Oreochromis niloticus: one gene and its partners. The protein of the gene in region 1 binds, or shares a complex with, the protein of each later gene. Links are inferred from orthologs where the notes say so. Each region holds a gene or a part of one and is shown in the gene's direction. Other genes may lie near its edges.

Region 1 (3,754 bases):
GTGTTTAGAAACTTTGCCGTGAGCAAAACAGGTTGTATCAGTTTAGTGTCAAATTGGACAACCTCACAGATTATCCAGTTTGTTGTATAAAACGGACAGATGACTGAGGACCGGTGTCTGGGCTGTACTGTAGTAGCACAGGTCGACAATCTTAGGTGTTGCAGTCACTTGGCTCAGTGAAGACATGCCATAGGACTGACTGTGCCTGGGACACTTTAGAGTCAATGACAAGGAGGACTGGAACTACCCTCAGCTGGATCATAAAAATAAAAGATTAATGTGACTCTAGTGGTGATATAAAACCAGTGAACAGTTCATTGTGAATATTGTAAAAAAAATTTTTAAACAGGGCAGAATTTGTCCGTTGTCAGTATAAGATTCCTCAAAATGTCTTCACATTGTTTTTGTCCAAACAAAAAATACTTTCATAAAGGACTATGAAAACCAGCAATTGTTTTTTTTTGGGGGGGGGGTCGTCTGAGATTTCAGCTACAAAACACAACAAAACACCACAGTAATAAACAGTGCCACTGAGAACTGTGAGAAAGCTACAGCTGACCATAAGCTTGTATTGGAGTAGGTTAATTTTAGGTTGGTGTATTTTATAAACTTGTAACAAACGAATACAAACACACCCCATAATATTTAAGACGTGGATAACATGTTTAAAACCAATTAAAGTTAGTAAGTATGTCACGATTTGGGTCAGCTCTGCGTCCAGAGTTTAGCTTCTACTTTTAACTTCAAAACTGAAACTGAATACGACATGTTTAACTATGTTTCCAAAAATCCCCCAACTCGTCCTGTCAACACTGCGTTTTTATCGGAAATTAAAAACTAACCAGCTGTCAGGCAACTAAAGTTAAGTCTGAAGCACTGAACAAAGGCAGCAGTAACGCAAATGTTTTCGACAAGTCCTTGTTGTTTTGAGGAAAAACACAACATCCCCCGAACTGTCAAAGCAGAGCTTCGAGTACACTGCTTTGACAGAAACGTCTAGAAAAGTCTAACAAAACCTGTCGATATTTGCTTTTAATGTCAGTTTTTTTCCACCCCTTTCCTTTGACGGGGCTCGTAGCTGGAGTTTATTTTAGTGAGTTAACAACAGCAGACGCCGCTAACTGCTAACAGGCTAGCTGGTTTTTAGCTGTAGCGAGAAAGCAAGCGGAACAAATGGCCGTTAGCGGCGAGGCAGAGCTGTCAGCCGGACGTATTCTAAAAGAGTCTGACAGATAAACAAGAAAAGCCTCCTGCTTACCGGGAGTTTGGGGTTTACTTCCCCTTTACAACAGTGACAGAAAAACCGATGCGGGGGAACAGCCGCAGCCTCCGCCATCTTCCCCAGAGCAGCACAAACACTGACGTCGGTCCTCCACAAACCGAAGGCAGCCGTCCACCTCCAGCCCAGCATGCACCGCGGCGCCGCTGGCCGGAGTCCCAGCTCACCGAGGAGCGGAAGGAAACGTGTTCGTGTGTTGACATCGAGAAGTCGCACGTGAAGTGTTTACTGCAGGTGATGGTGAATAAAAGCAGTGTGTGTTCAGAAACTTCTCAACTGAAAAGGTTTGTTTAAAGTGTTAAAGAACTCAGATGGTCAGCTGTAAATGTTAGCTTTTTAGTTAGCTTAGCATGCACAGCTCACAGGGTTAACTTGGAGTTAGACAAAACTATCTTTTCTGTGCTCGACAAAGAAGCTTCTGCACAGTATGCCATTTACACATGTGCTTAGAAATTCAGTAACAATCCTTTAAATATAAGTGAGGTTTGCAGTCGCTTAAATCTAAGTGGAAAGTTGTTGTTTCTCTTTAGTAATGTGCAGTACAACTTTTAGCCTAAATAATGCCAGTTCTGTTGTCAGATTGTAACTATTTTATTGCGACCAAAAAATAATGTGGTTACTATCGAAATATCTGGACATAATGTGAAAAATAAAACAGTCATTGTTTTGTGTTCATTGTGTGTGCCTGCTCTTGTTGTGACAAATCAGTAGGGAGGTGTGGAGAGACAGACAGTAATAATAACAGTAATACGTTTGATTTTAGGCGCTTTTCAAAACATTCAAGGTTATTTTACGCCGAAGACTTGAAAAACTATAAAAATAAGAAAATATCGATCAAGTTAATAAAAGAATATACATTATGTTAAATCAGGTTTAATATGATAGGTGGAAGACAGAGTGAATATGCCAGTTTTGAGACGAGATTTGAAAATGGAGAGAGTCAGTGTTATGGATTTCTGGTGGGATGCAAGTCCAGAGGCGAGTAACAGAGTAACAGAGCAACTGAAGCCTCTAGGCCTCATGGTAGTCAAACAGGTGAAAAGGGCGATGAGATGGAGACCAGGAGAAAATCTGGGATTTTGGATGAGTGTGTTGATGTGCAGAAGTTCAGAGGGATACTGCAGAGTGGTGTTATGTAATCAATAGGACATTTAACTGTGAGCCAGTGAAACCTCTGAAGTACTGGCATGATGAAACAAATGGAAGTTCTGGATGGATTTGAGAAGGGAGTTAAAGATGTTGATGGAGGACGTAACCTGGGTGTGAGCAAGGATGGTGGTACTATTGAGTGTGAGAGATGTACAGAGGTAACTATTGTTACAAAGGCTGAGTTAGATTATTGATGGGAGTTTGGAAAGAAAGTAAGTAAATCATCAACATATATACACTAAAACTAAAATAAGTTAAATTAAAAAATTCAAATAAAACTAAAAAAATAAAAGCAATAAAGTACTGAATGAAGTAGTGACATTCTGGAGAAACGTGTTGTACAGTCCGTCCATCTACTTCTTTAAACCACTTATCCAATTCAGGGTTGCATGGTGCTGGAACAGTTGGGATAGGCTCAACCCAGGGTTGTCTAGCTGTGCTAGGGATGAGTATGGTACGAATTTGCTGATGGCAGTGACACAGACTTTGCTTATAGATCCAAGTCTTTGTTGATTCTTAATCATTTTTTTGTTGTTTTTGTTGTTAGAAAAGGTTTTTCAGTTTCAGTTGTGCTTCAGAGTCTCTGAGTCTGAAGGTAGTATAGAAGGAGTTAAAAAAAAAGTGATGCACGTGATTCAAGTGTGTGAGAAGTCCATTGTTAGAGACACATCCTACATTGCTTATTTTAGCATTCCTTTTTTAATTCTCCCCTTTTGAAATATATTCCCTTGTGTGCTTGTAGATAGAAACCATAAATTGTTTGCACCTTCTTGTAAGGGAACACAAATTATTATTGATGGTTTTTTTGTACATCTTCATATATGAACACATAGCAACCAGTGATTTGCACATAGCAACAGCAGTCCACCTCCGTCATAATAAAAATATATTTCACACATTGCATAAAAAGCATTTACTTCTCTGTAGAAATGTGTTAGTCTTTACAGAGATAAGAGTTTAGTTTTTGTAGGCGCAACTTATTTAACCTTAAATTACAGATCTCTTGTATCCTGACATGATTCTAATTTGAGCTTTATTACATCCAGGTGTTAAGAAAAATGACACTATATTAAAGGAATATAGAGGAATACTGGAATACTGTTTTTGTACTGCTATAAATAGTTACTTACAGCTATCCTAGATTTTAGACCTTTCATCACCTGTGTGTTCCTGTTCTTTTGTTTGTGCAGATGACAGCCCAAGAAGTGCGCCTGTGTGGTCTTTTGCTGCAGGAGCACTTTGGAGAGGTGGTTGAGAAAGTGGGAACACACCTGCTCAAAAGTGGAGCACAAAATTTAAGAACAATCATTCATGAAACTGGCCTCT
Region 2 (3,754 bases), on another chromosome or scaffold:
TAACTTGAGTCAAATCCATCTCCACAGTTTGGACTGATTAAATTATACATACAGTGTTGAACATCAGGTTGTTACGGCATTTTTGCTAGTTAAGCATGCGTGTTTAAGATTGAAACACCAATCAGACAAAACCAGACACTAGCGTCTTTATACACTCACTGGAAAATTTGGAAGACAAGCCTTTTCAACTTCTACAGATATTTAAACAGCCACGGTAGCAACTCAGTGCATTTAGGCATGGTCACGATGTCACGCTGAAGATCAAACCAAGAATCAAAACGATGAAGAAAAGTTACTTTTAAAGTGGCATATCATGTAGGCTGGTCTGAGTATTTCAGAAAGTGCTGATCTACTTGGATTTTACCACACAACTATCTCCAGGGTTTACAGAGAAAAAGAGAAAATATCCAGCGAGCGTCAGTCCAGAGGTCATAGGAGAATAGCCAGAATGCTTCAGTAACTCCAATAACCGCTTGTTATAAACAAGGTATCAGAAGAGCATCTTTGAACGTGCAACACATCAAACACTGAAGCAGGCATCCTACAACAGCAGAAGACCACACTGGGGGCGACACTCCTGTCACCTAAAACCAGGAAGGCTAAAATTCACATACTCACTAAAACTGAATAATAGTAGATTAGGAAAATGTTGCCTGGTCTGATGTGTCTTGATTTCTGCTGCTGCTGGGTTAACTTTGTGAGGATATTTTCTTTGCACACTTTGGAATCTTTAGTACCAGCCGAAAGTCAATTAAAACTAACAGCCTACCCCACTACTATTGCTGACTGCTATGTCCAACTCTTTATGACCACATGTAGCCATCATCTGAAGGTTGCTTCCAGCAAGATAACAGCATGTCACAAAGCTCAAAACATCTCAAGCTGGTTCCTTTAACACGACAATGAATTCACAGACACCAGATTTCAATCCAACATAGCACCTTTATGATGTGATGGATCAGGATACTAAGAGTGACCGGGAGTGTATACAAATATACCAAAGGCATTGTAAGAAGTCATTATATGAGGTGATCTCTCGTCTGACCATAAATGCAACTCTCTTGTCTGTATGTATGCAATGCACATGTGCATGTTCATGTAGTGGACGGAGCACCTGAATCGGCAGGTCACAGAGCAAAGGATCCTGCACGAGTCGAGCAAGTCCTTCCTCGAAAATATCCAAGATTTCTGAATGAGGAAGAGCGTCCTCATCTTCCTCCTCTCCGCCTTGAGCTGCCGTATCTGTCACATCTTCCTCTTTTACCTCTTCTTCATCCTTCACCGATTGTCCTCCTCCTTCTGCAGCTCCAGCAGCAGCAGCGGTACACGCTCTCTGCTCCTCCTCCATCACCGCCAGCTGCTAAATTTACTCAGTAGGCAAGCAGCTTAACAGGCAGTTTATCGACTTAATTTATAACTTAGGGGAAAATATACTTTTTAATGGAAACTAATTTAACTGGAAGCCTGTGGAAGTAAGTGCGTCCGTCACAAATAATAACCGGGCGAGGAAATGGGGCTCAGAAAACATGGTTCCGCTTAATGATCCCTTGTTTCTCACCGAACTCTCAATGTGGGTGCATCTCATTTTCTCTCCTTCTCTTCCGGTGCTCCACACGCAGCAGTGTTTACAGCTGAGTCCACAGAGTGCTAGTGTTGTTTAATAGTTCAAAAACTAACAGGGTTTTGTTTTTTAAGTGCGTGATAACATGCTTCTGTTCTGTCCAACCTGCGGGAACGTGTTAATCGTCGAGGAAGGGCAGAAGTGCATGAGATTCGCGTGTAACACCTGTCCCTACGTACATAACATCACACGAAAGGTAAGTAACGACGAAATACTCACATCTTACATTAAGGTTAGCGTGGCTTCTGAGAGCCTCACGTTATCTGTTTAAACCCCTGTAGGTAAATAACAGGAAGTATCCGAAGTTAAAGGAGGTGGATGATGTTCTGGGTGGAGCTGCTGCGTGGGAAAACGTGGACTCAACACCTGGTGAGTGCCATTAAAATAGTTCATGGTGTGGTCTATCCATCTGTTTATAATCGCAAAATTAACTGGCTGAAGAAATATTGGATTTTTTTTTTTAATTAGTTTGAGAGTGAAGTTGTGTCTATCGTCCTGCACTCCTGCTCAAAACATTAATGTCTGCAGTGCCTTTGAGTGGTTTGTAATACAGTTTTTGACAACTGGATATAGGCTTGTTAGCTCAATGTGATTGCTGACAACAAGTATTGTGGGGTCAAAACTCTAAACACACACTTTCATGTCAAAATTAAACTCTTTAAAAGAAGAACTTTTTAAAACAAAGTCATCCAGCCAGCCATCTTCTTCCACTTATCCGTGATTTGTGTGAGCAAGCGTGTGTTTGGATCAACTCACTTTATCAGATTGAAACAAAAACTTTCCACCTGACCATGGACAGATTTTCCTTTAAAACACTGAGGGGAAAGATGCACTTCTGGACTGTTGTTAGCATCCAAGTATTCCCATGGATGACAGTAGGGATGTATTTTGTTGTGCCATTTAAAAATGTAATTATTTAGAAAACTACTTGAGCTGGGTCCTTCAGTTTTTCGTTATTTTAGGGTAAATATCTATTAACACTGTCAATATGGATTGTCAAATGTGTAGCTCAAGTTAACAGTCATGTGAAAAACAGAGTTTTCATGTGCAATACTGTGAAAAACAAAATACATTCTTAATTAAGAGGGTGAGTCCCTGCCAGCTGCTGCTACCTTAACGTTTGGGCACAATGTTGTCACTGTGTTAAACACAAACTCCTCTGTATATAAATATTCTAGAGTTAAATGTGAGGCTGTCTATCTGACAGATGGTTAAAATTGCATCATTCAACAGCACAATGACCCCAAGCACACCACCAAATTACAACAGAATGGCTGAAAAACAAATTGGGGTATTGCAATATCCCCGCCCAATAAAAACCTAACTCTACAGATAGATTAAAGCTCTTTAAATGAAAGACAGCTGTAGCTTTTGAACTATCCAGCTTGGAGACCTATTACAGAGAATAGGATGTCTTGGTCCGCCCTTGATGACATCAATGTGAAAGTCTTCTCCATCAATTCTCTGGAACTAGATATTTTTTCTAATTTCTGATAACCAGGTGGAGTTTGTCAATGGTATGATGACTGAGTCACATTTTAGGGAGCCAGCATATGCTAGAGACCTCTACTGAATAAAAATGCATTTTATACAAACTTTTAATTACAGTGTTTGTCTTTTCTGAGGATGGTAATTTATATGGCATTTTTGTGTTGGCTTGTTTGTTTTAATCATTAGTGAGGTGGCTTTTATACTTCTTGACCGCTGCTGTCTTTGTTAATTTAGGAAGGTTTAGTCTATTATAATGGATACCAGGGATGGAAGAGCTGAAATGAATGTGGGGTTGTTAAAAGTGTGAGAAAAGGTGTGTCTTTGCATCATTACATTGCCGGACTGCACCCCCTTCAGGGTAGGACAGGTAAACAACAACCTCTCTTGCAGGTTCTCCTGAGCTGCTGGTGAAGCTTTCTGGCCAATTAATGTTTAATAAATTGGTGACTGGATTTGGGGGAGGGGGGGTGTATGAATTTTGCAGCTGGTCCACAGCTGTATGCTGGCTCCCTGTATAGGCCCTCAGTCATGAAAAGCTTAGCCTCGTAAAGTTGTGTCAGCACCACTGGTATTTATGATTCAGGATATTATTCTACATCAATCACATTTTTGTGTTGTAAATACCTTTTTCCCTTGAAGCAT
Region 3 (3,754 bases), on another chromosome or scaffold:
GTGTTCAGAATGTCTCTTATATTTCAATTATGCTTACAAATTGGCATATTTGAGTTGTGTTTTTAAAACAAATATTGTAAATTTATTCTAGTCTCATTCAAGTATTTGCCGAGAGGTCCTTCCCTTATCAAAGGGACCAGGCACTGTTCGACCGGGGGTACCAAAAATCTGTGGCACCCCTAGGAGGAATATACTATTACTACATTTACATAAGCGGATGCTCCCAGAATAATGTATTACACACATGTTCAGTCCACATACTGGGAGAATCTGTGTCCACCAAATTATGAACAAACTCCATAAAAAGTTTTATTAGCAACTTGGCATTTTCTCTGAATAGATGGATTATTCTCAGCACATAATAATACTAAGTGCAATTCTCTTTTTTCTGTCAACATAGTATTTTATTCTATTGCATATAGTATCTTATTCTTATTATCTTATCCTATTCCAGTGTTTTTCTTAATTTTTGCTACTGTAACTTTGCACTGTCGACTTTCTGCTGTGACACAACAAATTGCCCATGTGTGGGGCTAATAAAGCTTATCTTATCTTGTCTTATCTTATCTTATCTTATCTTATCTTATCTTACCTTATCTTACTTCTTCAGCCCTTCACTTGTCCAGTTTGCTCAATTTTTTTAAGGACACCATGTTAAGATATGCCAGATATGACCTTATACTTCTTTGGGAACCACTTTGCTGACTCCCAGTAATAGTATTTTATGTTTGTCAAACTGTGTTGCGTTTGGCATATTTTGTAGATTCAACAAAAGAAACAGGAACTAGTAACAAAGTACCTAAAGACACAATTTAAAATTTCATGCCAAATGAAACACGATTATTTGCTAACTGGTCTGTTATGTGTATACACAACAGTGGTTCAAGTGTTGTGGCTACAAATAACAGACAAACCGAAATGAAAATGAACCAGAAAGCAGCAGATCTCCAAAGAAAAGCTTTGAATCACCTTCAGAAAGCCCAGGGAACTGTTGCTCAAGACTACTTAAAAATTAGCAGAAAGTCTGACTTCTTGGAAACAAAATATAAAGAAATGAGGGGTGTGTCAAGACTTTTGCATGGACCAAATACCAAATTTTCAATTTGGTATAATTAGTTTGTCCTTTCCTGCTTCGTATTTCTCTCATCCTTCTCTGCATCTTCTATATTATACATTCTATATTATGTATTTACACAATTACAGGTCAGGAGAACCTTTTCACACCCTGCTGCCTAAAATGAAGTTCAATTAACTAGAACAGTATTATATTATGAGATTATTAAGGGATCCTAATAAATTTCAAAGTGTAATATAGTGATTAAGCTGTGTTTGACCTACTCACATCTGCGCATTGAAGCGAACAACGGCCTCTTCCGTTTACTTATGATTATGAGCATCGGTGAGTAGCTACTGCTGTGTTGCATAACAAAGCATATTTATATGTCGGTAAAATAACATTTTTCACATACATACATAAGTCGATCTAAATGTATTAATGTATGCCGGTCTATTGAGTTTCGTGGTGAACATGCGCATGTTTCTGCGCAGGTTTGATCCAAGTGAACTGAGTGGACGGTGACAAATGCGGAAGTGTCATGGCGCCGTGCTGCAGAATCATCAACACTGTCATGCAGTGTCCCACACAGCACTGGTAGAAACTGTAATGACTCTGGGGTTTTGGATTAATATTTCATAAGGACGTCAGAGGGACAATAACGTAAGTAGGCGAGAAAGCACAGCCTGTTAAAAGTTCATCCTGAGAGTTAAAACAAAGTGTCCTGTGTCGTTGTATTTCACTGGAATGTGGCCACGTGTTGCTGAGGTTGTCTTGTAAAATCATTTCTAAAAATAAAAATGTGTCTGCAGGATCTCTGTTTATAGTGATACAATAACTTGTCAGTAATTTATGTCACAGTGTTATAAGCGCTACTTTAGTAAAAACAAAAAAGTAGAAGCTCAGATTTACATTTTTGTCTGTGTTCAGATTAAAAGATAATGTATATTACAACGAAATTAATAAGTAAATACTACATGAATCAATCATGTCAACAGTATGTTCTGCGGTCTTATAGAGCAGGATGTGGTAGTAGAGTAAGAAATACTTAATATGTGTCTATATTCACCCTTTAAAATCTGAAGTCATATTTAAACATATAATACTATATAATATAAACATTTAATACTTTTTAACATTAAGTTTTTAATTAAAAAAATTTAAGAAAATTCTATTTCAGCTTTCATGCTGCATTGGGCCAATGGGGCAAGCTGTACCATTAAATAAAATCAGTAGCTAGTTTAATTCAAATACAGCAAAACTGTGGAGATTCTCACATGTCCTGTCCTTTAATCATAACAGAGAGAATAATTTAGTTAAATATATCTATATGTATCATTTTCAAGACCTATTCTACTTACCATTTCCAGTCTTCGTGGAAGTAGAGTTTAAAATGTGCTAAGAGGCATAAGTACCAATGTAAAAATGTTCATACATAAATAATCAATAGGCAGTAGCAGTAAGTAGCCTTGCAAGGCCAATTTGGCCATGTCTACATACTGTGATTGGTAGTCTGATACAGGACTGTAACCCTTGGCAATCGGCATGCTGACTGTTGAAATGTGTGTTATGTATAAATATGAGAATGTTATAAGAAACAATGTTAGTATTTGTAATATCCATCCCTTGGTCGATCCCCTGCTTTTGCCCCAATTCAGGATGTCGGACGCAGGTTCAGGCGACCCCAGTGGTCGTGTGCCGACTCCTGGAGGGAGCGGTAGCAAAGGACTCCTGATGAGCCGTCGCCCGTCAGCTGGCATCTCTCCTGGCCGCCTCCCCACGATGCGATCCAGAGACCTCACATTAGGAGGAGTGAAGAAGGTCTGATATGTCTCTGTTTCACTAACTCACTCGCTTCATTTAACAACAACAACAACAAAAAAAGCGCAAATGGAAACTTTAAATGAATACATTTGTTATCTCATCTCTTGCATTTATCGTTCTTCTTTTTACTCTTTAGAAAACATTTACACCCAACATTATTGGCCGAAAAGTTAAAGAAGAGTAAGTTCCCAAAGCGCTAAATAAATAAAGTACAGACATCCAAAGCCAGCTGTTTCTTTGACTGTTATTTTCTCACACTAGAACAAAAGTTGAAGATGGGCAGAGGAGAGAGAGGAAGGAAACGGATCGAGGTCGGGGTCCCAGAATGAGAGGCAGGGGCCGAGGCCATCAAGAACTCATCCAGTCGCACTCCATTTTTGAACAGGGACCCGGAGAGATGATGATGAAAAAGAGAGGTGGGAGACCCGGTGCTCCTTACGCATCGTTTACGTGTGTGTCTTACAGAGTCTCTATCGAACGAGCATAATTCTGTGTCACCCACACACACAGGCGGCTATGAAAGCGAGAGAGACGCTCCAAGCATGGGACCCTCGCCCATCATTAATATCAAAAAGGAAAAGCGAGAGACCGAGGAGGAGACCAAAGAGATCCTGCGCAAGCTGGAACGAGACAACGTGAGTCTCTTGGCTTTAACTCATCTTTGTTTGCGTAACTAAGTACGTACAATTTCATTTATATAGCACCTTTAGAATAAGACCTAAGGGACTTGCTGGGGTCATATAGCTGTAAAATGTTCACTGATGTAACCTGGTTCTAGTCCATGATGAGCTCTAAACGTCAGAACGACAATCTTGAAATGGGCTTTGAGTTGAGTGGGGAGCCGGTGCAGCTGGATCAACAACGGTTTAAATGTAT

Evidence for each region. Proteins that work in one complex are often made in the same cells at the same time.
Region 2: polr3c (region 1) and polr3k share a complex: the UniProt entries of both Homo sapiens proteins name them as parts of the RNA polymerase III complex. The link is inferred for Oreochromis niloticus from reciprocal best matches to the Homo sapiens genes POLR3C and POLR3K.
Region 3: polr3c (region 1) and polr3d share a complex: the UniProt entries of both Homo sapiens proteins name them as parts of the RNA polymerase III complex. The link is inferred for Oreochromis niloticus from reciprocal best matches to the Homo sapiens genes POLR3C and POLR3D.

The regions. Positions count from the first base shown.
Region 1 is NC_031976.2:21,380,185-21,383,938, forward strand, and holds the start of polr3c (DNA-directed RNA polymerase III subunit RPC3), read left to right. Parts: upstream 1-1,424; 5' UTR 1,425-1,563; intron 1,564-3,618; coding exon 3,619-3,754. Other genes in the region: rnf115a (E3 ubiquitin-protein ligase RNF115), read right to left, coding at 1,259-1,411. UniProt on the Homo sapiens protein: DNA-dependent RNA polymerase catalyzes the transcription of DNA into RNA using the four ribonucleoside triphosphates as substrates.
Region 2 is NC_031969.2:24,519,643-24,523,396, reverse strand, and holds the start of polr3k (DNA-directed RNA polymerase III subunit RPC10), read left to right. Parts: upstream 1-1,556; 5' UTR 1,557-1,706; coding exon 1,707-1,817; intron 1,818-1,902; coding exon 1,903-1,990; intron 1,991-3,754. Other genes in the region: snrnp25 (U11/U12 small nuclear ribonucleoprotein 25 kDa protein), read right to left, coding at 1,115-1,348. UniProt on the Homo sapiens protein: Core component of RNA polymerase III (Pol III) which synthesizes small non-coding RNAs using the four ribonucleoside triphosphates as substrates. Can mediate Pol I proofreading of the nascent RNA transcript.
Region 3 is NC_031977.2:13,081,697-13,085,450, forward strand, and holds the start of polr3d (DNA-directed RNA polymerase III subunit RPC4), read left to right. Parts: upstream 1-1,564; 5' UTR 1,565-1,717; intron 1,718-2,712; 5' UTR 2,713-2,713; coding exon 2,714-2,875; intron 2,876-3,014; coding exon 3,015-3,058; intron 3,059-3,139; coding exon 3,140-3,294; intron 3,295-3,388; coding exon 3,389-3,513; intron 3,514-3,754. UniProt on the Homo sapiens protein: DNA-dependent RNA polymerase catalyzes the transcription of DNA into RNA using the four ribonucleoside triphosphates as substrates.